Oryctolagus cuniculus: one gene and its partner. The protein of the gene in region 1 interacts with the protein of each later gene in a biochemical or structural test. Links are inferred from orthologs where the notes say so. Each region holds a gene or a part of one and is shown on either strand. Other genes may lie near its edges.

Region 1 (6,503 bases):
CCGTCCATGGCGCTCCATCGGCTCTGTGCCTCTGCCTTGCAGAACCGTGTACGAAGACTCGGGGCCTGGGAGGCCGCTCAGCTGCTTCATGGAGGAGCCAGCCCCTTACACGGATGGCCCTGGAGCCGCCGGCGGCGGCGGGAACTGCAGGTTCGTGGAATCCCCGAGTCAAGATCAGAGACTTCAGGCCCAACGGCTGCGGACTCCCGAGGTCCGAGGATCGCTCCAAACGCCGCAGAACCGACCCCATGGCCACCAGTCCCCGGAACTGCCCGAAGGCTACGGTGAGCGAGTCTGCTGTGGACTGTGCGCGAGTTTGTCTCTGTCCTAAGCGTTTGTGGTAATGTGCACCTGCCTCCACTGCGGAGGAGTGGAGGCCCTGCGTGGCCTTGTAGAAGAGATGGTGACCCGTGAGCCAGCCGTGAGTGGCCGGCACCTGCTGCGCCCTCGCGGAGTCTCCTCGTCTCCTAAAGGAAGTGGACGTTCTAGGGGGTGCATACCACAGCGAAGCGCGGTGGTGGCAGGGCGGCTACTGGAGGCGCTCCGGACGGGAGCGTGGGGGTCCCCGAGGCTCGTTGGAGAGAGCAGCCGTGGTGGATGATGCTGGCATGGAGGGCCATGCAGGGCGGCGGCTCAGTGGGGCCACAGTGCAGGGAACGTGAGCTGCGAGGGAATATCTGGCCGGGGCGTGGACCTCGACAGAGGCGGGCAGAGGCGAGCCGCAGCCTTTGTCCGCCTCCTCCCTGCAGCTTCAAGGAAGCTTAGCGTCTGTGCGAAGGTCACCAGAGGGTCCTGGGCTTGAACCTGTCTAAGTGTCTCCCCTAATTTCTTGCGCAGAGCAAAGAACCACGGTGCAGGGGCAAGTTTACTTTCTGCACACACAGACCGGAGTTAGCACGTGGCACGACCCCCGGGTACCCAGGTAGGTTTGCCCAAGGGCACGCGGCAGAGCTTGAGCAGCGTCCTAAACTCAGAATACTCGTGAGCGACGAGATGTCTGGGATTGGCTTCGGCTGAGTCGGGGTGGGGGGTGCACTGGGGTCGCTGGCCGGGAGACGCCACGTGTGGAAGTTGATTGCCTGGTGGATCGTGACGGTCTCTCTGCTTTTCTTGTTGTAATGTGCATAAAGTTTTCCGTAATAATGAGTTGCGAAGGAAGTGTACAGACGCTGTGACCCTTTCTCTCTTCTACTTTACTGTCCCTATCGCCTCAGTCCCTTGGGGACCATTCCTGGGGGAGATGAAGCTTTTCTATACGAGTTCCTTCTCCAAGGCCATACAGCTGAGCCCAGGTCAGAGAGACCCCCGCCCCACCCTGTAACGGAGTTAAGTTTCTTTTCGCTTTGCTTTGCTTTCCTCTCCTTTATTTTGTTTTCTTCCTAGACTAGCATCACTACTTAATACGATTTCTATTCATGATTTGTTCCATCTGAGAGTACGCTTCCTGTCTGTGATTTTGCAAGTCTATGTTGAGTTTATGATTCAGTGTCTCTAATCAGCGTGGACGCATTACACCTGCAGTGAATGACCGAGGTGTTTTAGACCCCCCTGTAGGGAACGGGCAGGCTTTGGGGCTACTGGAAAAGCGTCGTGGTCGGTAACGCCACGCTCCCCTCGGCCTGGGGGTCGCAGTGAAATTACCGGTCCCAGGCTTGGCAGGAGAAAACAGTCGCTTGACAGGAAGGCAACTCCGAGAGGAGGGCGCCTGGCGCGGGTGCGGCCGGCGGAGCTGTGCGCGCTGCCCCGCGGTCAGCCCCCAGGAGCGCTCAGCGAGGAAGCCTCCGGCCCCGGGCGTGGCGCTGCACCCGAGAATGCAGGCGTTTTCCCACCGTTCTGAGAGTCTGACCCCTGGGGAGGCCCTGTTCCCTGCCATCGCTGTCTGTTGGGTGTTGCCGCGGTCCGTGGCACCCAGGCCCGGACCCTGGGCCTCGCCGGGGCCCTTGGTGGCTCCCGGCGCCGCAGCTGGACGCACCTGTCTGTGTCTTCGTCCCCATAGAGACCTCAACAGCGTGAACTGTGATGAGCTCGGCCCGCTGCCCCCCGGCTGGGAAGTCAGGAGCACGGTTTCGGGCAGGATCTACTTCGTCGACCACAATAACCGCACCACGCAGTTCACGGACCCGAGGCTGCACCACATCATGAAGTAAGCCTGCCCGAGCGGCCGCCGCGCCCGCGGAGCCCCTGGGTTGTACCCATCGTCCCTGGGTGACGCGGGCCTGGGCACGGCCGTGGGCCCGCGGTCGGTGTTCTCCAAACGGAGCTTCCCACGGGCTCCTGTCGCTGAGCTCCCGTGAGCGGCGAGGCCTGAACCAGACAGACGCCCCCTGTCACCTGCTCGTGCTCGTCCCTGTATCCTGTGGAAGTCTGGGTGTTCAGGCACAGGCTCGGAGCCTCTCGGGGATCAGGACGCGGGGTGGCTGCCGGTAGACGGCGCTCGGCCATGGGCTCTGAGCGTGCCACCTCCCTCCGCCGTTCATGAACTCTAGAGTTTCCCATCAGCCCTGCGCCACACTCATGCCCAAGGCGGGGCCTGCCGGGTGCAGGACGGGCCCTGGCCGGTTTCCCCGTTCATCTGTGGTCCTAACGGACGGGCCCTGGCCGGTTTCCCCGTTCATCTGTGCAGGACGGGCCCTGGCCGGTTTCCCCGTTCATCTGTGGTCCTAACTGACGGGTGCAGCGAGTGGGCATCCCCGTGACCGTGCCCTCCGCGACTTGCCTTAGGCTGATGGTGGCCGGCAGCCGTGCCGGCCCATGTAGAGAAGCGAGGTGGTGGGTGACAGGCTCGCCCCCGGCGCTGTGGCGGGCAGGGCGCTGCTGCTTGTGGGTGACCTGGCCACTCCCCTCCGCAGTCACCAGTGCCGGCTGAAGGAGCCCAGCCAGCCCCTGCCCTTGCCCAGCGAAGGCTCGGTGGAGGACGAGGAGCTCCCTGCCCAGAGGTACGAACGCGACCTCGTCCAGAAGCTCAAAGTCCTCAGGCACGAGCTGTCGCTGCAGCAGCCGCAGGCCGGCCACTGCCGCATCGAGGTTTCCCGAGAAGAAATATTTGAGGTACGGGCTTGCGTGTGACTGCCGGTCAGGTGGAGCTGCGGAGCCCCGGGAAGCCCTGGGCTGGTGGGCGTGCCCCCCCAACCCCCGGGGGGGCAGGGCCAAGGCCTGTGGGGAGAGGCGGGGCTGCACGTGCTCTCAAGGCAGAGCCGAGCACGCGATGGTCTCGGGGCGCCCCTGCTCGGCACGGCGACTGGTGGGTGCTCCCGCAGTCCTCCCGTGCGTGCAGCGCTCAGGGCCCCCCAGGCGGGCTCTCCTCTCAGAAAAAAGGGGAGCAGATCGGGCCGTGCCCTGCCCCCCTGGTGGGGGCCCTGGCAGAGGTCACGGAAGGGCTGGCCCGCAGAGTCGGGGGAGGGCGTGGACCAGACAAGGCGCCCGGTTTGGCACGTGGAGCAGACGTGGATGGCTGCCAGGGATAGCAAGGCGCTGAGCGATCGGCACTGTGCTGCCAGGTCCCTTCTCCTCGTCCCTTCGGCCTCCTCGTGGTGGCATTGGGACTGCGTCAGGTTAAGCGTCAATCAGGGGGAGGTGCGTTCTTCCTGAACTCTGCAGACGTCCCGGGGGGCGCCGGCTGGCGGGTGCTGGCCGTGCCTGGGGCGGGCTGCTGTCTCTCCCTGAAGCCTGCTTTCCCTGTGCCACTGGGCAAGTGGGGGAGTCTTTCCCGTCACCTACGAAAGCAGGCCCCGGGCTCCCTACATTCAGACTTGAATGAGACATAAATTGTTGGGGAAGAGCATTGGGATCAGTTTGTGTCGAGAAAGCCGGCTCCAGGGACCACGGTCGTCCTCAGTCCTCGGTGACCGTGCCGAAGGCAGCGTCGGTCTCCGCGAGGCCTGCTGCCACCTGCTGCCTGACACCGGCTTTGTCTTGCTGTCACCTCTGTGGGGGCAGGGCTGCTGGCTGTCCTAGAAGCCGCGTGAACACAGGACCCACTAGAGCTTCCCTGGACGGGGCCCCGTACCCAGAGCTGTGAGCCCCGCGCCCGCCGGCCTCTGAGACTGTCCCCTCTCACGTAGGAGTCTTACCGCCAGATAATGAAGATGCGCCCGAAGGACTTGAAGAAGCGGCTGATGGTGAAGTTCCGTGGGGAGGAGGGCCTGGATTACGGCGGCGTGGCGAGGTGAGGCGGGGCCTGCGCGGCTGGCAGCGTGCCTCAGGCAGGTGGGGTGCCCCCTCTTCCGGAGCGCCCCCGGGCCTCCGCACTTTCCTGCAGTCAGACTTCCAGAGAGCAGGTGCACGGCGGCATCAGGACACGCTTCCTGTCGAGCTAGAACTCAACTTGGAAGCCCAGCGCCTTGTCCTGTCGTGTCTGAGCCTGAGACGGATGGACCTGCTCCCGAAGTTCATGTGCCAGGCGCCTGTGTTTGCTCCTGAGAGGATTTCCCAGGGGGCAAAGCGGGCGGCGGGGGGGGGGGTGGACATTACGATTGTGTCGAAGGAATTTGGTAAAGTGAGGATTGGACGTTTTGTCAGGATATGTCAGGCAAACGATTGACCGAGTAGCAGAGAACAGAACCAACAGCAGTTCCCAGGTCCTGTCCTGCCCCTGTCCGCCGGCCAGCACCTGCCTGAAGCGTGCTGGTCCCTCAGGCGCCGATGGCCCGAGAGACGGTGTAGCGCGGATTTGACTTAGTTGTCTGGCCCCCAGTTTCGAAGTGCCAGCGTTGGCAGCGTCTCTGCGGCCTGAGGCAGCGTGCCAGCGCCCTTGGTTTTCTGTCTGTCGCCGAGACACCTTCCTGACCCCCCTTTTCCCAAGAGGACCTCCGTGCTCCTCGTTCTCCGCCCGGCATTCGGTGCCGCAGCCTCGCCCGTTCATCTTGCTCAGCCGAGAGACGGGGCGCTATGGCGTGCTTGCCAGTGTGGACACTTGGACGTTCCCGAGTTTCCTTCTTCCCTTACGCGAGGCTTCATTTTTTAAAAAATCCTTTATTCCTCTCATCTTTTCTCTTATTTCCTGTCTCTCTGCTTTTATTCCCCCCTTCTACTTTCTGAGAGTTACAGAGAGTTAGAGACAGAGAGAGGTCTTCTGTCGGCTGGTTCACTCCCCAGATGACCGCAACAGCCGGAGCTGTGCCGATCTGAAGCCAGGAGCTTCTTTTGGGTCTCCTACGTGGGTGCAGGGGCCCAAGGACTTGGGGGCATCTTTCCACTGCTTTCCCAGGCCATAGCAGAAAGCTGGATCGGAAGTGGAGCAGCCGGGACTAGAACCGGCACCCGTATGGGATGCCAGCACTACAGGTGGCGGCTTTATCCACTAGGCTACAGCGCCAGCCCCGAGAGCACCCTTATGCTCTATTTGCCCCATGGAAATTGTATTCATTCATTCATTCATTAACCAGTGAATACTTACTGATGCTGGACCTTGGCTGAGGCATACAACAGTGAGCAAAGTAACCCTGCCGTTCGTTGACTCCAGAAACCATGCCTCTCTTTGACCAGCTGGAACTTGGGTTCAGCCTTGCTAACACCGCTCCGGTCTCCTCGCCCTGGGTGTGGGTTTCTGTGTCCGTGTTCTCAGGTGAGCGGCTTCCCACCCGGTCATCGTGTCTGTCCTAGCCGCCCACACCCAGCTGCTTCCGAGTTCGGCTCTAGGACCGTGTAGAAGCTGGAGGTGTCTCAGGGGCTCAGTGTCTCCACTTCTTTCAGTTTCCTGCCGGTGTGAGGTGTGCCCGGGCACCCCTGGGAGCAGCAAGGCTGGCTGGGCACGGCTCCACGCCTCCTGCGCGTCCGTGGCAGGTGCTCCGTGACCAGAGTCTGCACGGTGCTGTCCTGGCCGTGCCGCCGCCTGCGGTGTGCCCTTACCATGTTGCCTCAGCCCGCAAGCTCCTGGTGTCTGGCTGGGGTTGTGCCTGCCCCAGAGAACTGCAGAGGCGTTCAGATGACCTTGTCCAAACAGCGTGGGGAAATGGGGTGAAAGGACGTTTATTTTGGTGCAAGAGCTTCTGAAATCCGTTCATGTTTCATAATGCTGATTTCACGTAAACTCTCAGGACCCCCGCCCATCTTGCACGTTTATGTGCGCACTGATTATCTGCCATGAGAATCGGTGCACGCTGACTTCCTGGAGGGGTTGAGGTCATGGCCGTCCGCTCTTTCTCCTGTTCCGCGTCCGGGACACGTGGAAATGCACCTGTGCCCACCCACGGCTCAGTCGGGGCATGTGTGCTTCGTTCTCCTCACTTCCTGTCTACACAGCTGTGGAGCCTTGGCTTTTTCCGCAAAAGCTTCTTCTTCTCAAGTCGAAATCCCCAAACCCAGGGGGTGACTCAAAACACAGGCGCTGAGCCGTTGTGTCTGCCGCTCGCTGCGCAGGGCTCGCGGTCTCCGCCCTCCGGGGATTGGGGGTGGGGTCCACTGGGATGCGTGCCTTCGCGCAGGCTCCTTGGGCGACTGCATTCGTGCTGGTCCTGTCTCATTCTGTTGGACAGAGTAAGAAATGGTGCAGTAACCCCAGGGCT
Region 2 (6,951 bases), on another chromosome or scaffold:
CTATAAATATATATATACATGTAAAAATTCAAAATAATCTACTTGTAAAACATTTTTAGAGTTTTATACCCAATGAAAGATTTTAAAATAAAAATGTTTATAAAGTGCATTCTTTTTGACTAAAGGTTTTTTAATGATGTTTATTATTTTACTTTTTATTTCAGAACAATTTAAAAAATTTTTTTTAAAAAACCGTTTTTTTAAAAGAAACTAGCTGCCAAGGTTGCCACCAGGTGGCGCTAAAATCTAATGAAAATTCAAATCTCCAATCTAGCCTTTGAGGAGAGGGGAGTTGATTTACAGAAGACACTGGGCCAAAAAGAAAAGAAAAGGAAAAGGAAAAAGACCACGTGAATTAGAACAAGTACTGGGAATATATTAATATCATCTTCTGTCTGAAAGACAATTTCCCTCTCTTGCTGGGATGGGTATGTGATCGTCACACCTGACTATCTGTTAAAGTTAGTTTGAACAAGATTTGTTCTCCTGGAAGAACTACACGTTACCCTTGCCTTTCAGTGGAAACTGCTGATGGGGGGCGAGGGAGGAGGCTGCAGGGTGCCTCACTCGTTTGGCCAAGTCTGGTCTGCGAGGGGAACAGTCTGGAAAGCAGCATCTCTCCAGAGCCAGTTAAGGATCCTGTACAAAAACCAAGAAGAATGAAGAGAAGGTGCTGCGGACGGATGCTCCGCTGTGTTTCCTTTGGCACATTTGCCAACTTCATACTTTTAGAATTTATTGTGATTCCGAGACTCAAGATTGGAACAACTCCTATGTCTGGAAATCAGGAAATCAGTGAATTTAACCCCTCTTCCTGATTCTTTGTATTTGAGGTTTTTTTTTTTTATCTTTGTTTTATATTTTCCTAATATTTGAAGTTAAAGGACATAGCCAAGATTCCCAAGCTATATTAAGACCAAGGAAAGCAATGTTAACAATACAGCTATAAAAAGTTTTGACTAAAAGAAGAAAAATCTGTGTAGATAAGATTTTCCTAATAGCCTAACTTTAAAAAAAAAAAAAAGTTTCCAGACTGGAGTCTTATACCAAAGATCAAAACAACCTATTTATTTCCTGGCCAATCGGTTCCTTAGGCTTAAAAAACAAGGCAAGGGGCGTAAGTGGGTAAAGCTGCCACCTGCAGTGCCGGCATTCCATATGGGCGCCAGTTCAAGTCCTGGCTGCTCCATTTCCGATCCAGCTCTCTGTTATGGCCTGGGAACACAGTAGAAGCTAGCCCAGGTCCTGGGGGCTCCTGCATCCCCCTAGGAGACCTGTAAGAAGCTCCTGGCTCCTGGCTTTGGATCAGCCCAGTGCTGGCCATTGCAGCCATCTGGGGAGTGAACCAGTGGATGCAAAACCTCTTTCTCTTTCTCTGCTTCTGCCTCTCTGTAACTCTGCCTTTCAAACAAATCAATCAATCTTAAAAAAAAAAAAAAAAGACAAAATTCCTCTCTCTAACAACAACAACAAAAATAATTTGGGCGCTGTAAAAAAGTGGAGCTGGTGTGGGGAACATGCAGCCCTTCTGATGGTTCAACCGATGCGGGCCAGGATGGGCCCTAGAGGGTAACAGCCACTAGGTTGACCTGTGAGTGGCACTGAAACCACAGGCTCCCTCTCAGCTGCCTGCGTGGGTTCGCCTGGGTGACTGTTAGAGTGGATCTGGAGCTGAGGTAAGAGCCCCCCAGAAAATCCCCACTGAGCTCCTGAACAAGCGGGTCGATCCTCCAGTCACCTGCTGGCTGGGTCCGGAGGACGCTGGCGCCCCCACCAAACCACAATCCAGAGGCAGACAGACAATGGGGCAGTGAGCTCGCCGTGATGGGCAGGTCTCCCTTCGGGTTTCCAGACCAGAGGTGAGGGCCACGTCCCGCAGGGTCCCCGGGGCAGCTGCCTGCAGCCCTGCTGGTTTGGGGCGATGGACCCCCAGCGCGCGCTCACTCGCACCTGCGAGCCCTGGGCCCCTGCCCCACCGTTCGCCGGCTCAGTGGGGTTTAGGGGGCCAGATTCTATTGCACTCTTCGTTCGGACACGGCTCTGCCTTAACAAACGGATCCGAAAGAACCACGCAGAGTTTCGGCCAAATACCCCGGCCTGCCCCTTCCCATTCATCGAACCAGCGCTCGCCCACTCGGTCTCCTTTCCCTCACCTTCGCCCGGCGACCCGAGCTGGGGGGTCCTGAAAGAGGAGGGCAGGGGCTTGCAAGGGCCGGGAGGCTCGGCCCAGGCCCACCCAGGTTGCAGTGGGCGCCTCACGCCAGGGGCTCAATCCCAGGGCAAGGGCGCCCCGGGAGGCCCGAGCACAGAGCGGCCGGCTCCAAAAGGGCGAAGAAGAAACCTTTCAGTTTGGAAACAAAAGTGCGTGTGTGGCCGTGCGTGTGCGTGTGTGTGTGGTTGTTTACTTACAAACAAAACCACGTTACGGGAGCCGCCCCTCCCCCGCCCCAGGTCCGACCACCCGCGGGGGGTTGGCCAGAAAGCCCCGCGATTCTGCTCTAAAAGGAGGCGCCGACCCCCCACTCCAAAGTGCCGCCCCGTCTCGGAACCCGCGGGCCCAGACCCCGCGGGCTCTAGGCAGCCAGCCCTCGGGCCACGACGAAGGCGGGGAGCCGGGGCCGCCGCGGCCCCGCAGCGCCGGCGGCCGCGCAGACTCCACGGTCGCCGCCTCTCCCAGCCCCGCGGCCAGGGCCGTCAATCAAGCCCGTGCGGCCCCGCCTTCGGGCTGCAGCAGGCGGCCAATCAGAGCCAAGCTCCGCAGCGATGAGCTCAGCCGGCTCGCTTCCTATTGGGCGGCTATATTAAGAAAGTGGCCGGACTCTTTAAATAGCAGGCGCTAGGGCCGCAGCCCGCATCTGCCACCGCAGTCTGGCTGGAGTCGTCGGCGCCCTGGTACGCGCGGCCCGGGACCCGGGAGGGGGAGCGGGACCGACCGCAGCCCGAGCCCTTGTGGCGCACAAAGCCGCCGACCCCGGCCCGGGGCGTGAGCCGCGGCCGCAGTCCGCGAGCAGCGCGGCGCGCCCTATGCACCCGCGCCCCCGCCGCGGCAGCCTGAGCGCCCGGAGAGAACGCGCCACCGCGGGGCCTGGGTGCAGCTAGCGACCCTCGCCCCCCAGCGCGCCGCCGGAGGTGAGCAGTGAGCGAAGCGAGCGGGACGGCAGCGAGGCGCTCGCGGGCCCCCTCCTGCTGCCCGGGCCCGGCCGGCTCATGGCGGCCATCCGCAAGAAGCTGGTGGTGGTGGGCGACGGCGCGTGCGGCAAGACGTGCCTGCTGATCGTGTTCAGCAAGGACGAGTTCCCCGAGGTGTACGTGCCCACCGTCTTCGAGAACTATGTGGCCGACATCGAGGTGGACGGCAAGCAGGTGGAGCTGGCGCTGTGGGACACAGCGGGCCAGGAGGACTACGACCGCCTGCGGCCGCTCTCCTACCCGGACACCGACGTCATCCTCATGTGCTTCTCGGTGGACAGCCCGGACTCGCTGGAGAACATCCCCGAGAAGTGGGTGCCGGAGGTGAAACACTTTTGCCCCAACGTGCCCATCATCCTGGTGGCCAACAAGAAGGACCTGCGCAGCGACGAGCACGTCCGCACAGAGCTGGCGCGCATGAAGCAGGAGCCCGTGCGCACGGACGACGGCCGCGCCATGGCCGTGCGCATCCAAGCCTACGACTACCTCGAGTGCTCCGCCAAGACCAAGGAGGGCGTGCGCGAGGTCTTCGAGACGGCCACGCGCGCCGCGCTCCAGAAGCGCTACGGCTCGCAGAACGGCTGCATCAACTGCTGCAAGGTGCTATGAGAGGCCGCGCCCGCCCGTCTGCCCCCGCCTGCGCGGCGCCCCCTCCCGGGCCGGTCCCCCAGCCAGCCGTGGGGAGGGGAGGCCCACGCCCCTGCAAGGACCCCACCAGACTGCCTGGCGTCTGCGGGCGGCTCTGGCTCTCGCGCCGAGAAGCGCGTGGGCACCGGGCGCCCCCTTCCCAGTGTCTGCGTGCGTCCAGCTGTGTGGCACAGGCCCGGGCGCCCCCGCTGAGTGCCAAGGGTCCCCTGGACATCCTGTTCTGAGGATCAGAGCCTCAGAGCGTGTGACTGCGTGTACGTTCTACTGCCCCCTCGCTCACATTGTCACACCACCCCCGCCTCGGGTCCCCCCGGGGTGGGGGTGGGGGCCGGGGCCGCGCCCCATCGGATGTTAGCCCGTAACCCGCGAGCGCCTGCTATCCCTTGTTTGTAACATAGACCCCGGGAATTGCGGGAGGGAGGGCTGGGGAGGAGGAGGGGGGTGTTCTATAAATACAGATATAATTTTATTTTCGGAGGTAAGATGGTGTTATTTAATGGTCGTGGTGGGTGGAGTGACCAGGGCGTTAGAACAGCTCTGGCCCCGGGCTGGGTCAGGCGCCCATCCAAGCATGACCAGGACTTGGCCATCTTTCTGAGCCCTGGGGAAGACATTTGCAACTGACTTGGGGCTGAAGGGACACAGCTTTTAGAAGCAGCAGGTGCTGCCAGCCCCCAGCGAACCTCTCTCCAGCAGGAGGAGGGGCGGGGCGTGTGCTGGGGGCCTTGTTGTTGCCATAAGCGAACTCTGTGCCTGACAAGTGAAAACTGTTCAGTCCAAGAAACGGATGTTTTTTTGATTTATTTAAAAGCTGAAACTTTTTTTTTTTTTGGAAAGAATTCTTTGCACAGTTGTTTCATTGTTTGACACTTAATGCACTTGTCATTTGCATAAGGCAGTAGCATTCTGTATGCTGTAACCTCATCTACTTTGGATTTATTTTTTTTGAATGATGATTTTGAAAACAAGGAAAAGAAAAAGAATTTACTAATTTTTCCTTGGTTTTCTCGAGAAAAGTGGCACCACTGTTTTGAGATTTTATTTGTGCAGGTCATGCACACTGTTTTGATAAGGGACAGTAACCCGTGTTGGGGCCTATTGAGAACTTTTTTGTTTTCCCTGCAAGGCAGCCTCTGCAGCTATGTGAAGTTTTCTCTGCTTCTCTGTACAGAGAATAAACCTGCCCGTTTCTCCCCTCCCTCTTCCTGCCCAGTGGTACTTCTACTAAACTGTTGTCTTGTTTTTTTATTTTTCCAATAAACTGACAAATGACAAAGTGGTGAGCTTATGATGTTTACATAAAAGTTCTATAAGCTGTGTATACAGTTTTTTATGTAAAATATTAAAAGACTATGATGATGACATTTATAAAATGGCTCTTGTGGTTTAATGCTCTGTAGTAAGGTATCCTTGTGCACGTGGGACAAGGGGAGAGACCCTTTCTGGGCAGTGACTGTCATAGCGGAGGGCGAAGGTCTGGGGGGCTCTGCGGGTTGGGTCATCAAGGGAGACCAGGTTGTTGGCTGTCACAACCCCAGAGGAAGACAAGCCGCTCACTCATGGCCCAGAGCAAAAACTTCAGCCTGATTAGGCGAGGCCAAAGGTCTTGGTTTTGTCTCTGTCTTAAAACCACTGTGACTATTGTGGACTTGGCTTCTTTTAGACTTGAGAAGCTGTCACTTGCGTGTTTTCAGTTTAGGTAACATTTCTGGGGCTGGTTGCCTGGGCTCCTTCCCATCCTCCAGGTCTGCACACCACCCTGTACAGTGGCAGGTTGCTCTGCCTGGGGCTGGAGCTCCAGGGGCTCTCCTGGGGAGGGTTCTCTTCCGATGGAACTTCCCTGGGAAGGTGCCACAATGAGAGCCTGCCCTTCTCTGAGAAGGGCCGGTTGCAGACAGAGGGCTGGATGTGGTGGTGGTGGTGGGCGGTGGGAGTTATTTCAAGTTGGAGCAGCTCCGCTTTGGGAACCAATTAGGATGAGCTCTAATTTCAGACCCTGAGCCTTGCTGCAGTGGTTCTCCGAACCAGACAGGCCGATTTGTTCTTGGAGACCACACGAAAATCCCGCTGCAGGCGGGAGGACTCAAACCTGCCGGCGCAGAGGAAGGTGGTGCCAGCCTCCCCCACCTGCCTCCCAAGCGTGGCTCTGTCTGAATCGGCATTTTCCACGTCTCCGCGCTCTGTTGCCACCCTCTCCTCTCCCACACCCAGGGCCAAGGCAGTGGAGGTCCCTCTTGAAGTTGTTTGCTTCAAGGCTGAGGCTCGTTTCCCCTCTCCCCTGCGATTTCCAAGAGCTTTTGTTGAGTGAAGAAAACCTGGTTGTTGGTGGTGACCTTTCACCCACTTAACACAGGCTGAAACAGGCCTGCTCCACTGGGTGGGTGCAGGGCCAACAGAGGGGGATTGTTTGGACTCCTCCAGGAGCCACTCCTTCCTCGGCCCATGGCTCCACTCACCTCCATCCCATAACCTACTTTAAAACAAAACTTCCCATTGAAAGACAATGTTTATTTGCAAGTTTTTACAGCCAGCAAATCCTTTGGTACCAGGGAGTGCAGGGATGGGTAGGGGAGTGCTCAGGCCTGGGCTGAGTGCCCAGCACTCGGCTCTGCAAGCAGCCAAGAGCCTGGAGACTTGCCCCCCCACCCCCACCCCCAGAGGGCCTTTCTGGGTTTCCCGCCTGTCCCATCTGCCTGCTACCTAAAGAGTTCTGCTTTTATATTTTGGGGAGACAACCACCCGGAAGAAGTAGAGCAGCCTGGTGGGGCCTGTTTTAACTGCGTGCCATTTAAAAACCCTGCGGAACATACTCTTCTTGCTGTGTTAGGGCCCAAGTGGAAAACAAAAAAACCAAGTTGCTCTAGGCTGGAAAATCAATTAGGGGGGGAAAAAAAGGTAAAACATCTGGTGTGACTCTTAGAATATGAAAATTCATTTTGCACATTTAAAAGAAATGTGCTGAGTTCATTTAATTGCCTGTTGAAACGATTCATGGAAAATAGTGGGAAGTTTCATTGATCCTGGGTGTTTTATAGCAAGGGGCGTTGTCTCGGGTTTTCCTTTAATCTCGATCTCAAATCAGTCTGGATTGCATTTCTGAGGTCTTTTTCCCAT

Evidence for each region.
Region 2: the proteins of SMURF1 (region 1) and RHOB form a complex in vitro, tested with the Homo sapiens proteins (2 studies listed by BioGRID and IntAct, with this or other methods). The link is inferred for Oryctolagus cuniculus from reciprocal best matches to the Homo sapiens genes SMURF1 and RHOB.

What each region holds. Positions count from the first base shown.
Region 1 is NC_091450.1:41,309,345-41,315,847, reverse strand, and holds part of SMURF1 (E3 ubiquitin-protein ligase SMURF1), read left to right. Parts: intron 1-42; coding exon 43-284; intron 285-837; coding exon 838-922; intron 923-1,214; coding exon 1,215-1,292; intron 1,293-1,996; coding exon 1,997-2,143; intron 2,144-2,849; coding exon 2,850-3,048; intron 3,049-4,061; coding exon 4,062-4,165; intron 4,166-6,503. UniProt on the Homo sapiens protein: E3 ubiquitin-protein ligase that acts as a negative regulator of BMP signaling pathway. Mediates ubiquitination and degradation of SMAD1 and SMAD5, 2 receptor-regulated SMADs specific for the BMP pathway.
Region 2 is NC_091433.1:182,132,472-182,139,422, reverse strand, and holds RHOB (rho-related GTP-binding protein RhoB), read left to right. Parts: upstream 1-2,839; 5' UTR 2,840-3,207; coding exon 3,208-3,798; 3' UTR 3,799-5,210; downstream 5,211-6,951. UniProt on the Homo sapiens protein: Mediates apoptosis in neoplastically transformed cells after DNA damage. Not essential for development but affects cell adhesion and growth factor signaling in transformed cells. Plays a negative role in tumorigenesis as deletion causes tumor formation.